2 linked regions of the Saccharomyces cerevisiae S288C genome follow. The main gene of each other region encodes a partner of the protein of the gene in region 2 in a complex. Each region holds a gene or a part of one and is shown on either strand. Other genes may lie near its edges.

Region 1 (6,997 bases), on a different chromosome or scaffold from region 2:
ATGTCCTCAAATTTTTCCACGAAACCTTCACCTGTGTATTTAACTTTACGCATATAGAACGCTCTGATTCTTGTAATCTTGAAACCAGGTCTGATCACAGTTGGTGTCTTTCTCTGGGTTCTGTTCAAGACAATATCCAGCAAATCATTTGCTGGAGCGACAGTAGGGATATCCTTCCATGAAAGTTGCATCTTCGGTATAGGAGGGAGATGTGTTTGCTTTTGGAGGGTACACTTACTTTTTTATAAACGCTGCAACTCCTAAATCTGAAGTGTATTCTTTATATTGTATTAGATGAGGTAGTACATAGGTGAAAATTTTTCTTTGCGATGAGCTGCGGAAAAAACTTTTCGTTCAGTTGAAAAAAAAAAAGAAAGTGAAGATCGTGTGCGACGGAATAGACGTGTCGTTTTCCCAATACTGGCATACAAATCAAGAGGGAGAAGAGTGGGCTTTTATAATTGCAGTTGAATGCAGTATGGTAGCCGAGCAAACACAGGAGAACATGTCAGCCGTAGGTCCAGGTAGCAATGCAGGTGCTAGTGTCAATGGCGGATCTGCTACAGCCATTGCTACTCTTTTACGCAACCATAAGGAGTTGAAGCAAAGGCAGGGTTTATTCCAGGCCAAGCAGACAGACTTCTTCCGTTACAAGAGATTTGTTAGGGCACTGCATTCTGAGGAGTATGCCAACAAATCTGCAAGACAGCCAGAGATATATCCAACTATACCTTCTAACAAGATCGAAGACCAGCTTAAGTCACGTGAAATCTTTATTCAACTTATAAAGGCACAAATGGTGATCCCAGTGAAAAAATTGCATAGTCAAGAATGCAAAGAGCATGGATTGAAGCCAAGCAAGGACTTTCCGCACTTGATTGTTTCGAATAAAGCACAATTGGAAGCCGATGAATACTTTGTTTGGAACTATAACCCTAGAACCTACATGGATTACTTGATCGTCATTGGTGTCGTGTCCATCATATTGGCGCTCGTATGCTACCCATTGTGGCCGCGCTCCATGAGACGCGGCTCCTATTATGTGTCTCTGGGTGCCTTCGGCATCTTAGCAGGCTTCTTTGCTGTCGCTATCCTGAGATTGATATTATATGTTTTGTCATTAATTGTCTACAAAGATGTTGGTGGGTTCTGGATCTTTCCCAACCTGTTCGAAGATTGCGGTGTACTAGAGAGTTTTAAGCCACTTTACGGTTTTGGTGAGAAGGATACTTATAGTTACAAAAAGAAACTGAAAAGAATGAAGAAGAAACAAGCCAAGAGAGAAAGCAATAAGAAGAAAGCCATCAATGAAAAAGCCGAACAAAACTGAACTTCCATTATCCTGTATAGCTCTACTGTATAAACCTTCTATATTGTAACCTCATGAACTCGCACATGTACAAACCTTCAAGAGAACCGGCACCAAAGCGCTACCATCTGGTTGCTTCATCGCTTATAGTGAGTAGTTTTAGATTTGAAGGTTATCGCTCCTGGCAAAAATCTGAATCCACACACCGCATAATTAGCGGTTATTATTACTCAATTTCCGGCCGGCTTTAATATACTTTCACCGAAAGGTCTCTATATAGAAGCTATTTGCTGACACTTGCTTACAGGAATCGATTATATAAGAAGGGTTCTGCATCTGGTTGCCTACTTAGTTTTCGGTATTTTTGAAGATTAGCAAAAAGATCAAGATATCAAGTATTTTCATATTTGTCATTTTAATGTTTCGCTCGGGTTACTATCCAACTGTCACTCCTAGCCATTGGGGCTATAACGGCACCGTCAAACATGTACTGGGAGAGAAAGGAACCAAGTCTTTGGCTTTCAGAGATTCTAAGCGCCAAATTCCTCTTCATGAATTCGTAACCAAACACGTGCCTACACTCAAAGATGGTGCAAATTTTAGGTTAAACAGCTTGCTTTTCACAGGTTACTTACAGACCCTTTATTTGTCAGCCGGTGATTTTTCCAAAAAATTTCAGGTATTTTATGGAAGAGAGATTATAAAATTTTCTGATGGAGGGGTCTGCACTGCAGATTGGGTTATGCCTGAATGGGAGCAAACATATTCATTAAATGCTGAAAAGGCTAGTTTTAACGAGAAACAATTTTCGAACGATGAAAAGGCCACCCATCCAAAGGGTTGGCCTCGTCTTCACCCGAGAACTAGATATCTATCCTCTGAGGAACTTGAAAAATGTCATTCTAAGGGTTATTCTTACCCTTTAGTGGTAGTACTTCATGGTCTTGCAGGGGGAAGCCATGAGCCTCTCATCAGGGCATTATCTGAAGATCTATCAAAAGTCGGTGACGGTAAATTCCAAGTGGTAGTCCTTAATGCTAGAGGTTGCTCAAGATCTAAAGTCACCACCCGTAGAATCTTTACCGCATTACACACAGGTGATGTGAGAGAATTTTTGAACCACCAAAAAGCTCTATTTCCGCAAAGAAAAATATATGCAGTCGGAACATCATTTGGAGCAGCCATGCTAACGAACTACTTAGGTGAAGAAGGAGATAACTGTCCATTAAATGCTGCAGTCGCTCTCTCAAACCCATGGGATTTCGTACACACTTGGGACAAGTTGGCTCATGATTGGTGGTCCAACCATATTTTTTCTAGAACTTTAACACAATTTCTAACAAGGACTGTCAAGGTTAATATGAATGAGTTGCAGGTACCAGAGAATTTTGAGGTTTCGCACAAACCGACAGTTGAGAAACCAGTCTTTTATACGTATACCAGAGAAAATTTGGAAAAGGCTGAAAAATTTACAGACATATTAGAATTCGATAATCTTTTCACTGCCCCATCGATGGGCCTGCCGGACGGGTTAACATATTATAGAAAGGCCAGTTCGATAAATAGATTGCCTAATATCAAAATCCCAACTTTAATAATCAACGCAACGGATGATCCAGTTACAGGTGAAAACGTAATTCCGTACAAACAAGCTAGAGAAAATCCTTGTGTGTTGTTATGCGAGACTGACTTGGGTGGACATTTGGCTTATCTCGACAATGAAAGTAATTCCTGGTTAACAAAGCAAGCTGCCGAGTTCTTGGGCAGCTTTGATGAGTTAGTTTTATAAATATGTTCTTAGATAAAATTCCTTACACATAATAATCTGTTCTTTTATTTCTCTATTTACCATCCTCCCCACGCTGTGCTTTCCAATCCGCCGATCCACTTTCTCTACCACGATTAGATGATTTCGAAGCGGCACTGACGCTTTCGGATTTCGTTTCTTGTGTCTTTCCTCTAATCAGCTCTATCTGTTCCTGCTCATCGCGACATGCAAGTTGGTATATCTCGTCATCATTTAACGAATACCTCAACCTCTTCGTTATAAATTGACAAAGGAATTTTAAATCTTCTTCCTTGATTTGATCTCTGGGCAGCTCGTTTTGGAGGATATAGCGTTTACTAACGTCAACAACGCCATCTTTACCGAACGCAATACAGTAACTCATTTTCTTGTTCCAGTTAATTGAATAGATATATGGTTGGTCGAATGATTGCTCACAGGAGTCGACATGAACCCACCTATTCAAAAAATTTGAAAAATATTCACACCAAACATGATCTTCTCTATTCCAGACGTAGCGAACATCTAACCCAAACGACTTCAAAATCAAAGTAAATAAATTGCACCATTCACCGCATCTTCCCTTTCTAGTTTCCAGCAACTTAATTGGATCGTTATAACGAGGAAATCTAGTGATATTTCCGCATCGGTTGCATTTATAGATCTCAACAGTTCCGCAATTGAATTTAGATTCCTCTCCATTGGGCCCTTGACTGCCCAGAGGTGTCATATTTTCTGAAGTGTTCTGGCCACAATGATTACAATCTGGTTTATTGCACCATTTGAAAAAATCTTGTTTGAAGTAGCGAAGCAGCTCCTTTACTAGATAATCCGTGTATATATTTTCCCCCTCTGCATGCCCATCTTTGGCAAATTCCTTATCAACATTTTTATATATTAGATCCAGATCCAATGTCTCCAGGACTATAGAATGCCATGAAGGATTGTCATAGACTGTACAGAGATGTTGACTCTGACCTAGGACTCCTTGTGCGAATTGATTTGTATGGACTAAATTCTGAAACCTTATATTCTCTACAGGTGCAGCTTTCTTGAATTTAGACAGTATGAAATCCTTATACTTAATTAACAACATTTTGGCTATTGAATCAAAATCTATGTTATTTTTTTCGTATACCTCTCCCATTGCTACTCCACCTGTTACCTTCTTCAGGTTGTTTTACGTCTTCTATATCTGTTCCCAACGCATCCTTTTTTCTTCGCTACAATACAAGGAAGATTACACTACGCAAAGTTTCGAAAACATCAAGAAGCATAGAACAGTTGAAACTAGGCAACAGGACTGTTTCAATTACATGATTGAGAATTTATAAGCGCATGAGACCACGTGACCAAGGCTTTTTGGTTTTAGGGTTTACTTACTCGGTACTCCTAATTAGTCTTGCTACATTTTACTGGTTACGCAACAATGACTCTTTCCTGCACTACTGGTGTGTATTACTGCTATGCCCTGCGACTCTCTGGCTGTGGGCCCTCATAGCCTGGTGTGACAGTGAAATGTTCGCAAGTAGTAAAGATGAATAATCGTTTATAATCTTATTTACAAGTCAGTGCATAAAATGATATAATATCACCTCACGCATGCCTATTTTATACATGTACTTTATATACCTCCCTTTTTTTTAACGCATTTCTATTATAAAACACTTCTGCTTTCCTATCCTCAAGATCAGTACTCGATCATCTATCAGGAAAGGAGCCAAGTTAGAAATATTTTCGTTTACTTTAGATTTTGAATGATGCAGATACACGCTTCCCTGGGAAAGTTTTCTTCTGGCTTCTGATACTGAACAATTTACTAGTTTACAAATTAACTTTATTAAGTCAATCTCTCTATCAGCATACTGCAAAATTCTGGCTTTTTTACATAGATCAACTAACTTCGCAGCAGATAAAGTTCCGTCATAACGTCCAAAAATAATATTAGAAAGCGCTTCTGAATCCGATCCGGAGCCAACTCCATATAACATATCTGTGACTTCTTTAGCCAATAAAGTTTGGCCATAACGTAGACTGGGTGATTTGATATGCGTTTCCACAATTTTTTTGATTTCACTTGAGTTTAAAAACGTAAAGATCTTCAAGAACTTGGGTACATCAGCATCCAAAGTATTATAAAAGAACTGGTAAACATCATACGCCGTATTGATTGAGGGGTCAATAAAAACAGCATTGCCTGCACTTTTCCCAAATTTCTCTCCTGTAGCCGTCGTCAACAAGGGCACAGTGATACCAAATGGCAAACCCTTATTCTTTATAGGCTGTATCCTATTGATGAGATCGATACCGGCTGTTATATTTCCCCATTGGTCGTTACCACCTACTTGTATAGTCACATTCTCTTCCTTATACAAATGGTAAAAATCGTACGCTTGTAAAACTTGGTAAGTAAATTCGTTAAATCCCAGACCATTTTTGGTTTGAAGCCTCGAAGAAATTGAATCCCTCGCCAACATAGATTGTACCCGAATGTGCCTACCAAAATCAGCTAAGAAATCCAACATTTTGATGTCTTTCCACCAGTTGAAATTATTCCTTGGTGTATATTTTCCGGAAGGTACATCTTCAGTGAGAGCACATCGGTTTCTGTAATATTCTAGGCCATTTTTGAAAAACCTTTGTAATTGCTGCGAGATGGATGCCACATTGCTTTGCCTAATATCGTTCTCCATAACGTCTCTTTCTGTTTTCCTACCACTTGGGTCCCCAACTTTCCCTGTAGCTCCACCTATCACAGTGACAATGTCGTGACCTTTTACGTAAAAGTGTAATAAAACCATTAGTGGAACTAGATTTCCCAAATGAAGTGACTGAGCTGTGGGATCCACCCCGCAGTATAATTTGATCTTATCGTTACCGTTCAACTTCGTCCGAAGGAAACTCTCTGGCTGTGAGACCTGGGACACTAGACCCCTTTGTTTGAGTTCGTCTAAAATATTATCGCTTCGAGAATCCGATGTGCCCTGTACTTCTAAAGCACTAGGCTGTGAATAAAATCGAGATTTAGGCAATGTTATTGCACTTAGTCCGGAATAAGTCACCAGAGGCACAAGTCTCCTACTACTATTGACCAAATTACTACAACTTCGTAATTCGAGCATGATTCACAATGTCTACCTGTAGATTGCTGTGTTCAATCGGAAACTGGAAATTCTTTCTTAACATTATGAGCCAACCACTTTTTATTTTCTTTTCAAAACTCCCGAACAAGACCAACATTACCAAACAGACTCCACTACTTTTCCATAAGAAGGAAGCACAGAACACCACACAAGATCATATAGCACAAATAGCGCAACAGCTTCAAGTCCAATATTAAGATATAATGCCTCCTCTTCCACAAAATTATGCGCAACAGCAGCCTTCGAATTGGGACAAATTCAAAATGGGGTTGATGATGGGTACTACCGTCGGTGTCTGCACAGGCATCCTATTTGGTGGATTTGCCATCGCAACTCAAGGCCCAGGTCCTGATGGTGTAGTTAGAACACTAGGGAAATACATTGCTGGTTCAGCGGGTACCTTTGGGCTATTTATGTCCATCGGGTCTATAATCAGAAGTGATAGTGAAAGTAGTCCAATGTCCCATCCTAACCTGAACCTACAGCAACAGGCAAGACTGGAAATGTGGAAGCTTCGTGCCAAATACGGTATACGTAAGGACTGAGGGGGAAATTTTGCATATATTTACGCTTCCCCATCGTTTTCTTAAACATTGTTACTTATCTGCTTATTTTTATTTAAGATATCTATCTACCTGTTTATAACTCTCTCAATACCATGTATTTAAGTTCATCACGACGAGGCTTATTTACTTAATATATTTGTATACGTGGGAAATGTCTAATATGTATACCGGTTTGCATCTTATTTTGGGTGGG
Region 2 (5,038 bases):
GCCAAAGTAACTCACTTGCCAGGGTCTCAGCGATGCACAGAAGAAGGCGGTCCCTTCTTGGAAGAGAGAAATTGTTTACATAACTATATAGTATCTCACAGATACAAGCATACGGTAGCCATAATATACTTCGCAAACCGTACCTTTTTGCGTAAGAAATACACATATAGTAGGTTTTGTCGCCTCCTCTTCCCCCTTTGTCTCAGCATAGCATTAACATAGGTGCCTCAGAGTGACAAAGAGAGAAATAGTTAACTAGAATACGGTGCAAATTCAGAGAAAAAATATCAGATTCTATTCTATTTACCCCCCCTATAACTGCAGAATCGTACATTTGATCAGCAAGTACCATGGGTAATTCCGGTTCGAAACAACATACCAAGCACAATAGCAAGAAGGATGACCACGACGGTGACAGGAAAAAGACACTAGATCTCCCACCACTGACAAAATCGGATACTACACATTCGCTGAAATCGTCAAGGTCGCTGAGGTCGCTGCGGTCGAAACGCTCAGAGGCGTCGTTGGCATCTAATGTTCAAGCTCAAACGCAACCCCTCTCCCGCAGATCGTCCACTCTGGGAAACGGCAATCGCAACCATAGGCGATCAAACAACGCCCCAATCACTCCTCCTAATAACCACTACCTAACCTCACATCCCAGTTCGTCAAGAAGACTCTCTTCCTCTTCGAGAAGGTCGAGCATGGGGAATAATAACAATTCAGAATTGCCCCCGTCAATGATCCAGATGGAGCCCAAATCACCCATCTTGAAAAATAGTACAAGCATGCATTCCACTAGCTCTTTCAACTCTTACGAAAATGCGTTGACTGATGATGACGACGATAGGGGGGATGATGGCGGCGAGAGCCCCTCAATGGCCAAAGTTACTCGCATCAACACTAGTTCTTCCGCAGATAGAGGCTCCAAGCGTACTCCTTTAAGACGTCATAATTCATTACAACCGGAAAAAGGTGTAACAGGATTTTCCTCGACTTCATCGAAATTACGCAGAAGATCAGACAATACTCTGCCAGCAAGTTATCCTTTAAATGCAGAAGCAGGAGGGAATGGCAGCGACTATTTCTCAAACAGATCAAACTCGCATGCATCATCCAGGAAGTCGTCATTTGGCTCCACTGGGAATACAGCTTATAGCACACCACTGCATTCACCTGCGTTAAGAAAAATGAGCTCGAGGGACAACGACGATAGCGGAGACAACGTCAACGGTAGAGGCACCTCACCTATCCCTAATCTAAACATAGACAAGCCTTCGCCGTCAGCGTCGTCAGCGTCAAAAAGAGAATATTTAAGTGCATATCCAACACTAGCTCACAGAGATTCATCATCTTCACTTAGTCCGCGGGGCAAAGGACAACGGTCTTCATCGTCTTCCAGTTCCAGTCAAAGAATATATGTTTCCCCACCATCTCCCACAGGTGATTTCGTACACGGGAGTTGTGCAGACGGTGATAATGGATCTAGGACTAATACTATGGTCGAAATGAAAAGGAAAAAACCAGTTCGTCCAGTGGACATAGATGAAATTATCCAGAGATTACTAGATGCCGGCTATGCCGCAAAGAGGACCAAGAATGTTTGCTTAAAGAATTCCGAGATTATTCAAATTTGCCATAAGGCTCGTGAATTATTCCTTGCCCAACCTGCTCTCTTAGAATTATCTCCCTCGGTAAAAATAGTGGGTGATGTTCACGGCCAATATGCAGATCTTTTGAGACTTTTTACCAAATGCGGTTTCCCCCCCATGGCAAATTACTTATTTTTAGGCGATTACGTAGATCGCGGTAAGCAGTCCCTGGAGACCATTTTACTATTACTATGCTATAAGATTAAATATCCTGAAAATTTCTTCCTCTTAAGAGGCAATCATGAATGTGCCAATGTTACAAGAGTCTACGGGTTTTATGATGAATGTAAACGACGTTGTAATATCAAGATTTGGAAAACCTTTGTTGACACGTTCAACACGCTACCGTTAGCAGCCATCGTCACAGGAAAAATATTTTGTGTTCATGGTGGACTATCACCTGTTCTAAATTCCATGGACGAAATTAGGCACGTTAGTAGGCCCACCGATGTACCCGACTTCGGCTTAATTAATGACCTTTTATGGTCGGATCCTACAGATTCATCGAATGAATGGGAGGATAATGAGCGTGGAGTTAGTTTTTGTTACAATAAAGTGGCTATTAATAAATTTTTAAACAAATTCGGATTCGATTTAGTGTGTAGAGCACATATGGTGGTGGAAGATGGTTATGAATTCTTTAATGACAGAAGCTTAGTTACAGTGTTTTCGGCTCCCAACTATTGTGGTGAATTCGATAACTGGGGTGCTGTCATGACCGTTAGTGAAGGCCTACTCTGTTCTTTTGAGTTGTTGGACCCACTGGACAGTACCGCTTTGAAACAAGTGATGAAAAAAGGCAGGCAAGAACGTAAATTAGCCAATCGCTGAAAAACTAGATATTAATGTTGCAGTTAATAAGCTCATTGAAAACTTTCTTTGGTTGTTCCTCTTCCTTCTTTTTTTCGCCGATAAAGTTGTCGTTATAGTTTCACTTATATCTTACGAGAATCTAAATAAGTAAATATTAATATTATTCAATTTCTCATTTCCTTTCCTCTGGGTTTTTTGAGAGTACGAGTTTTATTGCTCGCTTTTTGTATTTTCACTTTGCCGGCTTTTTCACTATTCCCTATTGTCTTAATAAAGTTCCTGCTTGGGCCCAGTAAACTTTTAAAATTTATGTGCTGAAAGAAAGTTGAAACAATCACAAGAGGAGAGCAGATTTGCCAAAAAAAGAATCTGAGCTGTTTGTTCCTGTCTAATACTAAAAGATATAAATAAACAATATGTATACAAAAGAGTACTACTGGTTTTCACAATATATGATAATAACAAGCACTTTGGTGCTCACCATAATATGGTCCATCTTACCATCATCGCTGGGTGAGGCTGCACCAAAGCAGTTTATCAACACGCTATTGGACATCTTCCCACAAAGAAGATGGATTATTACCTTGGAGAGCATAATGCTGATGGGCATGCTATGCACATACATCGGCCTTCTGATGTACAATGAAGATACATTAACACCGCCGCTAGATTCTCTATCTACAGTAACGGATGCCGGTGGTCAACTTGTAATAGAGGACGACCCGGACGTATTCGTTAAGAAATGGGCCTTTAAAGAAACAAGTGGTATTTACGATCTGTCTCTGATGGATGCCTGCCAACTTCTCTACCTATATGATAACGACCATACCAGCACATAGCTTTTCTCAGCACCTGTCCAGAGACATAACATCACAATCACATCGCCCCAGTAAATGCATACGCAAGATAAGATACAAACTGGCTACGGGAACACTACGCCAACGTGATTGGCAATTGTGCTCTAATAGTTACTCTATTATTGCTGTTAATTGACAATGTTTAGTCACGTGCAACACAATTCAAGTCACGTGGAAAGGCCTTCACATGGTGATCCATCTTCTACATCTTCATCGGTCCTGCATAAAGTCATAATATGGGGCTACTGGAATGTATGCACTTAACAGTACTATTATATGGTGAGGCTGTAATGCTTACCGTTTTGTGGCTATTCTCGTATTCTGTAGGCCCCCCCATACACATTTTTCGGTAACTGCGGCATATAGATGAAAGTTGAAATGAATATTCAAAAGAATATATATAATAATGCAGGAGATCAAGGAAGAATTAGATATGTATAAGAGTGATGGTAGAGGCAAAAAATAAAAAGTAAGCAGGAGAATGAATCGTGTTGGTATAGACGTAGATCATATGATAGGGGTCCTGCTTCTGGCCGTAGTGGTGGTGTTTTGGGTTGGCGCTTCGTGTTTGACTAATGAATTGCTCGAGACAAACGCGTACAATAAACCTTTCTTCCTTACTTATCTAAACATATCATCGTTTGCTCTTTATTTGACGCCAGATCTATGGAGGATAATCCAATCAAGAAGGAAGAGCTTGCAGGAACGGACAGAACGAACATTACCTATTCACACACAAGAATCTTTTTCAGAGTTCCTACCTTTACTATCTTCAACTCCTTCTACTTCTTCAAATTTGTCTTCGATAGCGGACACGAAAGTGAAGGATACAATGAGGTTGAGTCTGCTATTTTGCGTCTTGTGGTTCGTGGCAAATTTGGCGGCTAACGCTGCTTTGTCGTATACCACAGTGGCTTCGTCAACAATTCTTTCATCGACATCCTCATTTTTTACCTTATTTCTTGCCACTAGTCTAGGAATAGAAACTTTTTCGACAAAAAAACTGCTGGGGTTATTTGTGTCTTTGTTTGGAATTATCTTAATTGTGATGCAATCCTCGAAGCAACAGGATTCTGTGAGTGCTTCCTCCTTTTTGGTAGGTAACACTTTAGCACTGCTGGGGTCATTGGGTTACAGTGTCTATACAACCCTTTTGAAATACGAAATATCATCCAAAGGTCTCAGACTAGACATTCAGATGTTTCTTGGTTATGTTGGTATCTTCACGTTTCTGTTGTTTTGGCCAATTTTAATAATCCTGGATATAACACATATGGAAACTTTTGAACTACCAAGTAACTTCCACATTTCTTTTCTTGTCATGTTAAATTGTATCATTATCTTTGTTAGTGACTATTTTTGGTGTAAAGCCCTCATTTTGACATCACCCTTGGTGGTTACCGTTGCCTTAACTTTTACTATCCCGTTAGCCATGTTCGCTGATTTTGTATGGCGAGAGGCATTTTTTACGCCTTGGTATATCATTGGTGTTATTTTCATTTTTGTTTCATTCTTTCTAGTTAACCATCGGGGAGAATCTGCTGTTGAAAAGGACTGTGCTGCGGTTGAAAAAGGACCTATCTTGGATGCCTAACGTGATTATTTCTTCTTTTTATGCAATTTTTCACATAATATAATTATATGTCTCCCATTTTTATATATTCAAAAGTTAATGTCTATAAATGCCCTATCTGACTTATTGTCTTATTTTTTTGC

The links.
Region 1: GPI19 (region 2) and ERI1 share a complex: the UniProt entries of both Saccharomyces cerevisiae proteins name them as parts of the phosphatidylinositol N-acetylglucosaminyltransferase (GPI-GlcNAc transferase) complex.

What each region holds. Positions count from the first base shown.
Region 1 is NC_001148.4:364,172-371,168, reverse strand, and holds ERI1 (Eri1p), read left to right. Parts: upstream 1-4,433; coding exon 4,434-4,640; downstream 4,641-6,997. Other genes in the region: putative GTPase NOG1, read right to left, coding at 1-191; Sec63 complex subunit SEC62, read left to right, coding at 506-1,330; EEB1 (medium-chain fatty acid ethyl ester synthase/esterase), read left to right, coding at 1,728-3,098; PNG1 (peptide-N4-(N-acetyl-beta-glucosaminyl)asparagine amidase), read right to left, coding at 3,151-4,242; tyrosine--tRNA ligase MSY1, read right to left, coding at 4,739-6,217; MGR2 (Mgr2p), read left to right, coding at 6,442-6,783. UniProt on the Saccharomyces cerevisiae protein: Probable component of the GPI-GlcNAc transferase (GPI-GnT) complex in the endoplasmic reticulum, a complex that catalyzes transfer of GlcNAc from UDP-GlcNAc to an acceptor phosphatidylinositol, the first step in the production of GPI-anchors for cell surface proteins.
Region 2 is NC_001136.10:1,334,471-1,339,508, forward strand, and holds GPI19 (phosphatidylinositol N-acetylglucosaminyltransferase GPI19), read left to right. Parts: upstream 1-2,881; coding exon 2,882-3,304; downstream 3,305-5,038. Other genes in the region: PPZ2 (salt homeostasis regulator), read left to right, coding at 351-2,483; THI74 (Thi74p), read left to right, coding at 3,804-4,916. UniProt on the Saccharomyces cerevisiae protein: Part of the complex catalyzing the transfer of N-acetylglucosamine from UDP-N-acetylglucosamine to phosphatidylinositol, the first step of GPI biosynthesis. Involved in cell wall biosynthesis.